Drosophila melanogaster: one gene and its partner. The protein of the gene in region 1 interacts with the protein of each later gene in a pairwise test. Each region holds a gene or a part of one and is shown on either strand. Other genes may lie near its edges.

The links.
Region 2: the proteins of stnB (region 1) and Syt1 interact in binary tests that used the Drosophila melanogaster proteins (3 or more experiments, as listed by UniProt).

Annotation. Positions count from the first base shown.
Region 1 is NC_004354.4:22,999,694-23,007,328, reverse strand, and holds the start of stnB (stoned B), read left to right. Parts: upstream 1-2,680; 5' UTR 2,681-2,779; intron 2,780-7,635. UniProt on the Drosophila melanogaster protein: Adapter protein involved in endocytic recycling of synaptic vesicles membranes.
Region 2 is NT_033779.5:2,794,690-2,802,311, reverse strand, and holds the start of Syt1 (synaptotagmin 1), read left to right. Parts: upstream 1-2,332; 5' UTR 2,333-2,403; intron 2,404-3,475; 5' UTR 3,476-3,826; intron 3,827-3,990; exon of another isoform or gene 3,991-4,480; intron 4,481-6,767; exon of another isoform or gene 6,768-6,823; intron 6,824-7,622. UniProt on the Drosophila melanogaster protein: May have a regulatory role in the membrane interactions during trafficking of synaptic vesicles at the active zone of the synapse. It binds acidic phospholipids with a specificity that requires the presence of both an acidic head group and a diacyl backbone.

The DNA of each region.
Region 1 (7,635 bases):
TAAAATATGCTACAACCGCTCACAGGTTGTGATTCAATTGAGTATTTTGAAGTGTTGAGTAAACCCAGTTCAATTTGGGGAATAGGTTCGTTCGTTCGTTTAAAATCAATGAACTAGGTCGTTCATTTAGTTCAATCGTTCATTTTTTAAGCTTGCTTAAAGGTGCTTCACAATAAATGTTATGAGTTTATCTCATACAATGCTGACATTAAAATTTATGTCAAAAACAGTTATACATAATAATAATAAGTAATAAATAACAAAGAGTTTACAACTATATTGAACTAAGTGAACTATAAAGACAGACCTAGTTCGTTCGTTCAGTTTGGGGAATAGTTAAATTTAGTTCGTTCGTTCACGAACGACACAACACTAGTGAATACTGTGTTGCAATGCACTGTGGTCCAGAATTCGATTTTTTTGGCATAAAGTCTAAAAATTGAGCTACAGACTTGAAACTTTGTACATTTTGTTGTTAAATCCCAAATAGTTTGCCCACAATATTTGTGCGACCACGCCCTCTCTTGCCTCCCCCACATTAACAACTGGTATGACTCAGGGTCAACGAAATTTTATTGTTTTTTTTTTTTTTAATAAAAGTGTGTATTGTATGTGTGTAGTATTGTTTTAAAAATAATCGCCCTCTTCTTCTTCTAGTTCTACATAATAAATAAAGTATGACAGAAGTTAAAAATAAAGATTGATCAGAAATTGGTGTGCCAAGTGCTTCAGTTTCAAATTTCTGCTTGTAAGCACTATGACCAGTTGTCCCATCAAATCTGTAGCTGCAAATTAATTTGATTATAAAGATATCTGGAAATTGCTTGAAAACATCAGATTGCAACTTAATTAATTTTTGCGCTGTATGATCCAAGAGATTTGTAATAGCACTTGAGCATTACATCTGTACCCTCTGGTCGGCACTGCAATTTTGCTTCGATCACTTCATTATAGGTGTTTCTGGTGTTATCTGGTGTTTTTAAAGTTTCTTTAAGAACAAAGGCAACGTCCCTTTTGCATTTCTAGCAGAAACAGTTGCTGCATGAATCAAAAGACTTGTGTCGTGATCACTTTTACTTGCCCGATTGGATGCTAGTTTCCTTTTTAATCTTTCTCCTGCATTTTGCTAAGATAAGTTTCGGCGTCCCATTTAAATCCAATTTAACAAGAATTGTTATCTTAGACGCCATCCATTTGGTATGTTTGGAAATAAATCGGTCTAGTTGTCTGTTACACTCGGGCAGTTTTCTTTTAATAAATAATTCAAAATGTACTATTTTTTTTCAATCTCTTGCGGAATAAACGTAATCTGAACCATACATTTATTTGCCTATTGTTACGCCTCCAAATGTCCAGGAGGTCGCTATGTCTGAACTTTAACTTGCCTATATAAAATGTAATTTTAAGAAAACGAGCAAAAATGAGAAAAATATATTACTTTACCGTCAAAGATAATAGTTAAAGGTACAAACTGACGTTTTTAATTTTTTTCAGAAAATTAGTTATACTCCACGAAACACAGGGGACACGTTAGTATTCTCTGTTAAAATACACATAAATTGACTGTTACACAACACAAAAACAGTGCAACTACACATATATTAACTACATACGTTAAAAACAACATACCTTGGCATTTATTTTCCATATTTTATTATAATTTATAATATAACATTTTAAATTTATAATTTATATATATTATAATTATAATTTATAATAATAATAATAATAATAATTTATGGATGCGTATTAACGATCGTACCACGTGCAAAAGTAAGCAAATAATTTGGCGGGAATTGCATTCTCTCAATCAGCTGCTTAACACTTTTTTTTTAGCAAATCGATAGAAATTTAAAATTATAAAAAAAAATTTCGAAAAATGATTAAAAAATGTGGGTATTTCATACTTTTAAACGAATCTAGTATACCCTTTTACTTGACGAGTAACGGGTATAATACGTTTTTTTTAATGTTGGTGCTGAGAGGGTTAGGTTAATTTAAACATTATGCGATTATTTGAATATGAACGAAATATCACGTGTCGTCCATAATATTTTCAGGGCTGAAATATGTTTAGGATACGCATGCGTCAGAAATCAAGACTTAATAAAATGCCTAGTGTCATATGACAGTGACGCAGATGACAGCGCTTCTCTTTATATCCGTTACTTGTAAAGTAAAAGGGTATACTAGACTTGTTGAAAGGTATGTAGCAGGCAGAAGGAAGCGTTTCCTAACATATAAACTATATAACAATAGCCACTTCGATCTGTTCCTGTCCGTCTCACTATTTTCAGCAATTATTGGTTATTTTCTGTTTTATTATATTTTCCCAATTTTTACCAATATTCCAAAAAATATTTGAATTTCTCGTTTCCACTTCCAGTTGAGTAAAGGGTATCTGATAATTGGGGAACCGGACTATAGAATCCTCTCTTGTTTAAGTCTTTCTTTTGCAGAGCTTTGAAGCTTTTAGAGCAGAAAAATCACACAGGGATAAAAAATACCATAAAAAAGGGTAATGTCAGCTGTGGAAGGAAACTTCCTTAAGTACAGTGCTTTTCAGAGCTTTATGTAGCTTTTAAAGGATATACCGTTGGTGCGCCGTACCGCTGTTTCTCCTCTGCTGACGTCGCAGCTTACGAAAAGCACTTCCTACGGAATTTCACGACATTTAATTCATTCTGTTCTAGATTTCCCGATAGTTCAAATCAGAGGTAAAGACCCCGAACCGAATCAAAACGAAAAACTAAAGTCCTCTGAAAACAAACAACGCTAGGTACTTGTGTTAGCTCTTTGCTTATTTTAAAGTATATGCCAAAATATTATCTTCGAAAACAAGTGAGAGAAATGTGTTTTTTTTTTTCGTACAATGATAATTGTATGCACAAGAGTGAGACGTAAGTTGCATAATTTCCTGAAGGAAAACTTCGGAAATTCAGCTGCGTACATTTTTTCGAAGTGGGGATAGGCATACATATAAAAGTTACAGTTCTTTGGGCTCCTTCCTGTACCCATAAATATATAATTGTAGAGCTTAACTTTTCTATGTGCCGCGCGTGTGTAAGTGTCCAAGTGTGTGTGACTTGTAGTGCGGGGGAGCTGTCTCTTTTGCACGAATCCGTCGTCTCTAGAGCATCGATTTTTCCAACCAACTCTCATTAGAAAGGAGAAGAAACAGAAAGAAAAACTAAGAAGAATATATATTGTAAAATAATATATTGTAAGATCAAAAAATACTCGAGCGATATGCCAAGTGACATGTGTGCGAAAATAAAAGCTATTTAAGCTTTGGCAAGGAAGTGCGTCAACAAATGATATTTTAATGTGACGTTCAGGCTAGATTAAATAAAAATGAGCAAACCAATTTTTATTTGTACCTATTATTCAACATGGATAGAATTTTGCCTTATTGTATGTATTATGATATGAAATCAATTTTTCATAGAGATCCTTAGGTTTTAGATGCTTACAAGGGGTCTAAATCCATTTTTTATTGTTAAAGTTTTATTGTACATGTAATCCTGTTCAAAAGTCGGTATTCTATAATACCTACTTTTGCATTAATATTCTGAAAGATGTAACCTAAACCGCATGAAAACCGTTTTGAAAAATGTATTAAATGGTACGTAATCAGCGAACCAAATTAACGTTCTTTAAACAAGACAAGTGATTAGCAAAAATAAACAGCTAAAATGTTAAAATTTGTGCTTAAAACGTAATAAATTCGCACTGTCCTAAGTGCAAATAATTGGTATAAACAATGTGTCTGAATATAAATGTTGCCTATTGTAAAATCCCAAATGAGAAGACTTTACTCGTTGAGTTTTTGTAAGAAACTAATTTTATTTGGAAATATCTTCGGTTTAAATAGGTGACATGAGAATCGCATCTTAAAGTAAATGGCCTACGCAGAGGCCTAAGTAAATAGTCCCCGCCTTATCGAGGTCCCACGCTCGGGCACATCTGCCTATCTTGAGCGGCGAGGACCTTATCTGTGGTCTCCCACTAAGGGACTATTTTAGGAGGCGGGGAACGATCTCAAGTGACTGACTCATGTAGTGTGCACTTAAATTACATGTTTTTGAGCAATGCACCCATGTCGCCTTAGATAACAAAATCCTAAATATAATTTATCGCTCTCGATTCATTTACATAAGATATGAACGGAGCCCAAAATTGTAAGTCTTTAAATATATTCGTGTTCATGTGTGAACATTCTGCCAAAGGGCCAGCAAGCTGAGATGTACATTAGTATATTAGTTGCATTTATAACAGTAGTGGACTGTATTTATTTGATATATGTTCATTTATTTTGCAACTAAGATTTCAATGGGCCTAGTTTTTCTGGCTTTTAATTTTATTGGATTACAATTATGGTTTATATTATTTTTAATTCAACAATTTGTACTCAATTAACTTATTTTAAACATTTTGCTTTTTCTATGTAGAAGTACATTTTCTATTAAACAACGATATAGTGGACTGTATATTTTTATTTGTTATATTATTTTATTGTTTATTTACTATTGATATTTATAGTACTGGCAACGGACCTGCAAAGGTTATTGCTTGCATTCTTTGTTGCACAGCACATTTCCGTATGAAATATATTATTAATACTATCATTAGTATTAAAGCAATAATTAATCCAGCATGTCCGGAAATATGATGGAAATGTAAATCTTTCAATTTTTGATGGTTCTCTTTCATAAATTTAATTTCATTATTCAATCGTTCAAATTCCTCAGTATGATTTAATATTGATAGTTTCAGCGGATCCCAAATAATCTTCGGCGCTTCACTAACTTCTCCTATATAAGGTGTTGATAATAATTCTTCACTTTCGGACTGAATGTTATGGTGGGCAACTAGAATTTTATCGTCGGTTCTTGCCGTACAATATGGCGCAATGCTTAAAACTCCTTGCTGAGGCAAATCAAACAATTCAATTTGAGAGCCAGTACATTGCAGACGGACTTTTGAATTCGCAGGAACCTTAAACAACCAACTACTTTTCTTTTCTAACTCTACCCAGTAACTTTTAGAGTCGACTACTGTTTTATAGATGCAGTTCGCCGCTTTATCTGGCTTTAGAGGCTGAATCTCACATGCATTATCATTCGCTGAATTCCAGGGCCAACTTCCTTTGCATATTCTCTTATTTAGTTGCCATTTCTGACATTGATTTAATGTGGCTTCCGTCATTATGTGATAGGAATCTATCTCAAAATTATAAATTAAATATTCGGACGTTGTATGCACCATTATTATCCGATCTTCATTTCGAATTGGCACCGGAATAAGCCTGAACAATTTGGATGGATGCCTGCTAAACAGAGGCACTTTTGCACTAATGATCAATTTATCGTCGATGAATAAACCCCTGGCTGTTAACAGTGTATACACCTCCTTAAGTTCCGTACCTGACCGTTTTCCTGGAATTACTAGGTTCTCCGAAAGACTCTGCTGAATTTTGGCAATTTCTTTTTTAAGCTGATTTGGCCTGAGAATATTTGTATTTAGCCTACCGTGATTAATATCAATCAACAGGCTTATAATGCCTGCTTGAATTTTTTCGCCTTCTTCAATCAATGAGTGTAGCTGTTTCGTAATCATAAAGAATTTTATTGATTCCTTATAAACATAATAATTTTCTTTAAGAACTTCTGTCATGTTCTCAATTCTTATTTGCATACTTCTAAAATTGGAGTTAACATCTTCTGTTGTTCTCTTTAATAGATTAGAAGTTGAATCAACCACAGATGTTTGTTTTTGAATTAGTTTATCAAGGTTGTTCTGGTTATCTAACAAATTCTTCATATTTTCTTCTAATTGCTCTCTATCATCTTCATCCATTATACCAAATAAAATATGATACAAGGAACCCATAAATTCGAAAGGAGCACGCTTGCTTCTAGATCTAGACTGTATCATAAACAATTTATTGTTTTCTTCAAGTTCCGATAACTGACTTTGCATATTATCTAAGACTAGACTACATTGCTCTTCAAAGCTATGAAGTCTTTCGCAAACTTTCCTCATACTTTGTATAAGCGCATTACCCTTTGTTAACATTTTAAAATATGGATCCATTTTATAATAGATAACCAAATTCCAAGAAGTACTCACAATCTCAACATCTCCTAGCGGGTCTAGATATATTGCTGAGGTTTTATTTATTTTGTCTATAGAATATCTTGGTGCTATATCTTTAGGTAATGCGCTAGAAACTTGACAACTTAACACAAACAACAACATTGCCATAATGATTCCGATCTTGGACATTCCCGATGTCGCTCTAGTTCGTCTTTTTGGCTCTTGGTCAGCCTCATTTTTGTCAACAGACTTTATTCCTTCCAAGGGACAAATTTTAGTAATGGGTCTAGTGATATATCCTTCCTGCATTTTTACTTTAGCCACTCGGACCTTATCATCATTCCCCTTATGCACCTTTTCCACCTTTCCTAAAGGCCATCTTGCAGGATGACAATTCTCATCCTTTAATAAAACTATTTGCCCTTCTTCTATATTAGGAATTTCCTTTTTCCATTTATTCCTTTGCTGGAGCGTATGCAAATATTCACTTTTCCACTTAACCCAGAAATCTTTCTTCATTTTTTGGATAAGTCTCCACCTATCCAAATTTCCGATTTTTTCATCTTCCATTGGTTCGACTATTTCTAAAGGTGGTCTTCCAATTAAAAAATGACCTGGTGTTAAAACTTCTTGTTGGTCCTTCTCACTAACTATAGTGTATAATGGCCTTGAATTTAAGCATGCTTCTATTTGACATAAAAGAGTTGACATTTCTTCGTAAGTCAAAATAGTGTCGCCGATTATACGCTTTAAATGGTATTTCATTGACTTAACTCCAGCTTCCCAAATACCTCCGAAGTGAGGTCCTGCCGGGGGAATAAAATGCCAATCAATCCTGTCCTTTTCAAGCTGCGCTGCAATCGTTATATTTTCTTGTATTGCATTAAATAACTCTTGATCTAATTTTCTTGCAGCTCCTACAAAATTTGTTCCGTAAGTGACTGTGGTTAATTTATATGTTTTAATTTTTTCTTTTGGAGAATTTCTCCATAAAATATATTGATATTTTTGATCATTATTATCTATTTTAATTTGTCGGTACATCTTTTCAATGTCTGCCGAAACAACAAATTCCCATTTTCTCCATTTAATAATAATGTCAAAAATATCTTTTTGAACTCGTGGCCCAACCCACATTATGTCGTTCAAACTTTTGTTATTCGTAGTTTTTGCTGAAGCATCAAAAACTACTCTCAATTTGGTCGTAAGGCTTGAATCTCTAATCACTGCCTGGTGCGGTAAAAAATATTTGCCTTCATCACTCACTTCAATCATGTGTCCTAAATCCATGTATTCATTCATGAATTTAGTGTAGTCAACCTTAAGTTTTTCATTTCTTTTTAGTTTTTTCTCCAGATTCATGTAACGAGCTATCGCTTGTTTCTTTGAATCTCCTAAGGTGACATCCTCCTTGAATGGAATTGACACAATGTATCGCCCATCTGAATCTTTTTTTGTCGTTTTGATAAATTTATTTTCACAGATTTCAGACTCGATATCATCTTTTTCTTCTTCTTCCACTTCCCAGTAGCGATC
Region 2 (7,622 bases), on another chromosome or scaffold:
CGATCTAAAATTAGCATCCACGAATATAGCGTTTCATTTCCACTTATTTTCGAATTGATGTGGTCAGTTTTTATGGCCCCCGAGTGACACTCGAGCCAATCCGTACCACATGCCCAAAGTTTGCGGGACAGGTGCTAATGAATGGTATATCTAGATTGTATAAGAATTAGTGCTTACTTGGAAAACGGAAAGATTATTCGGGTGCGCTTTGTTTAGTTTACAATTAGAATGATATGATGACGCTATTGGTACATATTCATAAGTAACTAAGAAGCCTTGACAAATTTTGTGATTTAAACTGATAAAAAAACCAATTACACAGCATTAATGATAATTAATTTGTCAATGGTTTCTGTGGCAGATAAGCTCATTAGGCATTAACCAATCGACCTTTGTCGCACACGTTGGAATCCAAATATATTTGCCAAGAATTCGAACGCAATCTACGTGATTCATGTATTCATACAGCGAAGACAAAGTCTAAACCTGGTGAAATTATCAGCTATTTCATGTAGATTAGAAGAAGTGAGAACTTCAGTTGTGCCTATTGCACATCTGGATTGTGAGTATAAGCACTTGATAAGGTGCAAGTGCCGAATAAACCACATATGCAAAGCAAATAAAACCAATGGCCATTATAGGTGGCACGTGTAGCCTTGCCATAACCTCGACCACCAAAACGATTGATACCACACGGAATCAGAAACATAACATAGGAAAAAACCAAACATTCGCTGATTGCGAGTCTAATCGGGTGATGCAGGCGGAAAGAACACTATTTTTTGGGGGTGGGAAACTTCGCATTACCTCATCAAAGTTGCCCCAAACCAAACCAAAGCAATCATGCCAATTGCCCCAATTCAAATCGATTAGTCTCGATGACACAGCAACCCCAATAATGCAATTGCCCCACGGCCAAATCGGATCGAGCGCGTGCCGCCTCGCTTATCGCCATTTGGGAGCAAGTTCAAGTGACCACCGACCAAGAGCTGCTGCTCCCTGTCCACTTCCCACTGATAACTGATAGTGATAAGTGCGTAAGCGAGTGCGTGTTTACATTCCGCTCTTCGCTTCAATCATCAATCATCCGCGATCGATCTCGATCGATTTGAGCCCGAGGACTGGCCGTTTAATTAACTTCTTCGCTAGCGATTACCGATTGCCGTGCGAGGGTTCCCAAGATAAACGATATGGGAAATCACGAACCCCGAGTATGGCCAACCGCCTGATTGAGGCGTGAAGGTGACCAGCACTATCGAATATCGTGATTTATTTGCGCGTCGTAAAGGATTGTTAATGATTCACCCGATATAAATACATAACTCATAGGAAAGCAAGTCGATAAGTATTTCTGTTCAAAGAAGTATGATTTAAGATCGTATCTGCTTTGATTTTAGGTTACTAATAGTAACTTACTATGTATTTGTATTCCTATAGTATATTTATTCAAAACATTTAAAAATATATCCTCATTGCATGTAAAAACTCAGCTACTCTCTAGGGGGAAATCACGATTATAAACTATTTTTGTGACAAAGTATTAATTAAATTATATTTCATAATTATTGTGCTGACATGTCATTAAGATGGACTTGTCAGCCCAAAAGTAGGCACGACCTTTTAATAATGCATTTCCAAAACCAAATAAATTGCCTGGATGGATCGGATCTATTGAAAAAGATTTAATTTCACAGTCATACTATTTTGGCTTATCGTTAGATAAGTAATTTGTTTTGATTTTTTGTGAAATATACGATACAGTGCCGCCATTTACATGGCAAATCTCAGCTTTCATAGGCGAAGGAAAAATAGTACGGAAAGTGAAACTTGGCACAGAAAAGCTTTGCTCTACAGCAAATGGCAACATTGTGTGCCATTGAGACACTTCCGCCCCAGTACGCATGCACCAAAAAACATACTGCGAACAGGTTCTGAAGGAGCTTTCAACTTTACATGTGATTCCCAGTCAGATGTTTACCTCCTTTGGGAAAATCTAGAGAGAGATATAGTAGGGATTTTTGAAAATATGTATGTAAAGGTACTAGACATGAGATACTGTAGTAGTTATTCAACTCTTACTTATGAAGGATGCATTTTATGGTAGTGCCTATTTTATGATTATCCTCCTTTGCATATCATACAGACGTAGGGGCTCAGCCATGTCCAGCTGGCCTAAAGTCTTCCCCTCCGAGATTTCCGCTGCCCAAAAGCTCCCCCCACGGTGGACACCGCCCCGCTCACCCGCTGGCCGAGCGGCCAAAATCGATGCCCCAACCGGTTCGCTCTCGCGTTTTGGCGAGTGGCCCAAGCTTTTCAGCGCTGCTCCTGGAGCGTGTGGGCCAAAACGCGAATGAACATCGACCGTGGAAGTTGACTGCTGAAGTACAAAGCGCTAGGCTGAAGGTGAATGGGAAAGAAAAATTCTAGAGGCTCATAAAAAGTGGCAATGCCCATGGAAAATCATTCAAAAATGTGATGAAAAAATTATGAAAATTAAACAGAATTGGTTGAAAGCAAAGCAAAAGTGTTGAAAGTGTTTTCCAATTTGTTATATAAATGAAAAGGCCATCGAAAGCCCCGAAATGTATAGTGCGCGTGTGTATGTGTGTGTGGTGTGGGTGCGTGTATGCGACTGTGTGTGTGCGAGTGTTTAGCACGCGCTGACAAAAAAGGAGAACATTTTTTGTGTATCAGAATTTTTCGCAGCAAATGTCGAGAAAAAATGGCAGCTAAGCAAGAAAATTTTAATTGAAAATTCCAATGTGCAATGCGAAGATGAAAGAAGCGCTGAAAAATGGGCTATCATTGAAAGTGAAAACGCATGTGAGCCACTTGCGGGGATATTGATTTTTCCCACCCGACTATTGTGGTGCTGTAGGCCAGTCGAAAGCCAGGATTAAAAAGCATATCAATGTGAATTCGGAAAATCCGAATCCGCAGTCCTTCAACGCCCTATAATTAAATAATAAAAAATTAAAATTGAAATGAGATTTTTAACTATCAACTTGAAGTGTCTGAGTGCGAGAGAAAAAAGGAAAGCTCAATTCAAGCCAAAAGAGGCCCTGAAAAGGACGAAAGAAATGGCCCTAAGAAAATCTCTATCCTGAATTTGCTTTCTTCGAGGAAAAAGCGAATTTGCCAACCTCCCACTCTCTCTCTCTCTCTCTATTTTTGTCTCTCTCTGCCCACTCACCAACACGCACACACATGCTCTTTTGGGCAAGGAGACACAACACACAGACACACACACAAAGCCGAGTTCGCTCTATCAATATTTACGCACACCATTGTATTTTGCTATTACGTATACGCTGCGTATCTCTTCAACTCTCTCACTCACTCTCTCTCTATATCTCTCTCTCTCTCTCTCTTCCTCACTTTCCGCTGACATCCTTTGTACTGCAAAATATATGCAAATAAATCTAAATAAATTGAATTAATTTCAATTAATTTTATTACAAATTATCCAAAAAAGTATACGAAATTCATGTGAGACTAGCGAGCCGCGGCCTCACTAGCCAAAGCCAGTCACAAAAAACCAAAAACATAAATCAGGCAGCAGCAGCAGCACACATACATCGACAAGCGCCAGGACCCGCATCACCATATCCTTCCTGCCAAATAGTCGCCACTGCTGCCGACCCTCCCCGCTCCCCTCGCAGGAGTCACGCTTCGTTAAACGCTGCTCAAAACCCATCATCCTAACTAATAAAGCGGACGATAAACAAGCGAATTAAGTACCAAAAACGACCGAGCTATTAACGCTAGTCTGGATCCCAATTGCTGATTGGAAAGGAGAAACATTGGCAGCATTTCTGATTAGGGGGTGAGTGTTGGTATTTACAAGAACGTAGCACACTTTTTGGGGCAGTCCATAGAGTGAATGGAGAAACATACATAACTAAAGGGTTGCTGCAGCTAAAGAAAAACTAATCTCTAAGCTATCAGAGAAAATGTGATTGCTTATTATTCTAAGATACAAACATTTCCCATGGTTAACATTCATCTTGAATTATATTAATATCTAAATAATCAAGTTAATTAATAGATTCACAAAAATTTGCAGGAATTTCCTTTACCAATTAAACCCAAAAGGTCTGAAATACTTTGGGTTTATTAACTTGATTAATTGCCAGACTGCCAAATTCTCTGCCCAGTGCCACACATCACTTGTTCATCGTGTCCTTTCTTATCTTCGTCTAATAAGAACTAAACCTGATTTAGTCCTGCTCTTCGCTAATTAGCTTTGGACAGCCCGAAGTTGGGCTGGAATTCCTCGGAGGGCAGGCTATTAAGGGCATTGCCGAAGCATAGCAATAAAAATGCTGCAAACAAGCTCGGCAGGCCGCACATAATTGCCAATAATCAAGTTGGCCCGAACGGCAGCGTAATTTTGACCCTTCGCGTCGCCCGAAAATCCTTTTGTGTGAAATTCGAGAATATGAATGAATTGTTTGCACGGAGTCTATATTTGATTTTGAAAACATCGAGACGGATTGTTCAATGAAAGCGAAAAGCATAATGATGTGGAAAATTGGTTTTCTCCGCCAGGCATTCTTCTGGCCTGAGGCAATGTCGGGCTCCAACGTCTAGCTTGGATTTTCCTTCATGTTCATTTCTTTTTTTTTTTATTTCCTTTGCTATTTTCCGAGTTTTTATTTTGTTGCCTTCTCTGGGTTATGTGCGCAGTAAAGAGAGCAGAAACAGAAACAGAAAGAGAGAGAGAGAGAGAGAGCTGTGGGCATGTGTGGCTTTTCCGCTTTTCCATCCTTCCGCTCTCATAGTTTTCCACTCTCCGGCTCGCCAAAAAGTTTAACCGTTTCCCCATTCGTGAGCTTCGAGAGCCTCCTGGCCATTTTCTACGCGATTCGCCCGTATTACGTGCGTGGGTTCCACAGATGTTGCCATAGATCCGAATCCGAACCCGAATCATATTGCGAGCTCCATTTGCTCGCTGGCGGGTTTGTTTGGACCCGGTAATGGGTAATGACTGCCTGTCCAATCCATCCCATGTTAATTTGTTTTGACAGCTTGATGGTAAGACCGGTAGAAAACTCTATTTTTACTCGGGTTCTTCGTTGCTTACTCGCAGTATCCTTTTACCATTTATCTTATCGCCATGCGAACCCCGCGCTAATCTAAAATGCCCAGCCAATTGCCGTTATCTGTGCTCCACTTTTTGTCACTGCATTGCACCACCCACCGGGCCACCAACCCAGCAGCCCACGCACCCTTATCAGCTTTTTCTGCACCACCGCCCACAATTTATGAAAAAGCAGCAGACAGCTGCCTATTTATAGGTCCTTCGCCAAAGGTCAAATCGTAGCAATTATTACTAGGAAAGCACACATTCCTCTTATCGTCCCTAAATTGGAGCTCCGAACTGAGCTTTGATTAATTTAGTAGGGTCTTCGACACGAAAGTTCTGTTCATATTGAGTAAGTTCATCAAAAGTGGTAATTGAATTTTACAACGTTAAGTGGAATGCTGATTTTTGGAACTTATTAGGAGATTTCAGTGTACCTTGCTTTATTTGCTCATTTCAATTATAATACTTTTCCGAGACTGGCTTTCAAAAGCAGTACTTCCTTCATGTTTATGGCACTTTTGACAGTTACTGGAAATGTTTTGCCATCAATCGAGTGCTCAACAATGAACTCACTGACCACTCAAGCGTCTTACTACCAATAACAAATACTGGAAGCAGCTGTTTTGGCCCTAAACATAATTTACACTTTAGCACGAAACGAAGCCGTTTTGAACTGCGTAGTTTGTTATTTAGCTGCCACTTCTTGGTGCCCAGACAAGTGGGCACCGCAAAATAACCAGCACACCCATACGCCCCGTTGACCCGTGGGCAAAAAAAAAAAAAAAAACAGTGCCACGAAATGCTGGCAGAATGACAAAAGTGTGGCAACTGGCGCATACAATATTTGTGACCTTCTTGTGCCTTCCTGGAAATCACAGTAGCTGCACATCTTGTTCCTATTAATGTTAAGTTCTTTTTCTTGCGGGTTTTTCGGCCCCTTATGCCAGGAAACATAATTCAGCATGAGATTTTTTGGTGCATAAATAAAATATGAATAACAAAGTGGTCCACCTTTGGGTGATTGCCATTTTCCGGGCAACTTTCGGTAGCTAGGTGTTTCTGATTGTTGCGTCCACATTTATTATGGATGAGTCTTTCGGAGGGTAGAAAGCCCTTGTTTATCCATTTTATTTATCTGCCACTGGGCTGCAACGCAATTTGTCAGGGAATCACACGGAAATCGTGACATCTCCCAGCTTTCCACTTTTTGCTGCCACATGACTGGTTTTCCCCTTCCTCCATCTCAAGGAGTCATTTCCAGGCAGCTTCTGTGCCGCACAACTTGTCCTAGATGCATTTAAATTTATTTATTTCTCGGTAATTTTCCTTTTTGTCCTCAAGTGGCCAAGAGTCGTGGTCGCTCATTCTAAAAAGTAAAATAAGTTAGTGCATTTAAAAGTAGGACAACATTTAAAATTTATATTGATCATGTTAAAGTTATGATGTTTATCAATTGTGCACTCTTAAATAATTTACAGAGAAATTGTCTGTCTTAAGTTTAATCTTCGCGAAATACGAGATGAGCTGGCAAAAACTCATTTAAGAAAGCGATAAGCGGAGAAAAGAGACAGCTGTTTATTATTCATATGCAAAATTGGTGAAAAGTAAACAATTTCATTAAATTCGTGATAAGAACATGTATGTATATTAGTCCAGCAGCAGTACTTTTATTTAGTCGCTCTAGTTTAACTGTGAGGTATGGACATCAAATAAGTATGTGATTAAGTTATACAGGTAAAAATTATATATAAGAAATATTTCTATAATTAGTTTTCATTACTTAAGCCATGATGCATGCCTTTTTATTTGAAAAATATGTTTAGCTTAATTTTATCGATTTTAAAGATGCCTTTTTCGACCCAAAACTGAATTAAATCGCAAATTGCGTTTGCCTAGAAGGCAATTAACCCGCATAACTTAATTTCGCACATTATTCATGCAAATTGTATTGTATGTTGAGCAAACACAGAGTTTGCATCTAAATTTTCCACCCGCGTGGCATCCACAACTTTTGAATTTTAAGCATATTTATGGGGCCAAATAAACAAAGCTGCCTTCAGGCTTTTCATTTAAGCGGCTTGCCGAGTTTTTTCGAGTTTTCCGAGTTCTTTTCCATTTTCCGTTGGTGTGTGTTAGCGTGTTTCAGGGTATGGATGTCCTTTGACGTCATTTGCAAAGTAAACAAGAGAAAAGCCATAGGAGAAGCATCGCTTTCCAGTCATTTTGGCTTTAAATTGCTCTACACACACAGTTTGCTTTTCTTTCTTTCTGGCTGAGAGGATAAGTGGTTTTGGTGACATATTAAGTTATCTTTGGCTCACGAGATGCTTTATGGAAACAATGAGATGCAAACAAAAGGTGAACAAACAATGGATAGCGGACTTGGAATATCATTTAACATAAAATCAATTTGACAATAGGATTCCTCGTGAATAAATTTCATATTCTGCTGTTCAGATTTAAGTGAACCAATAATATTCCAATGAAATTCGACTTTTAGTATTCTTTCGGCTGACATGTGTCGTTCAACTTT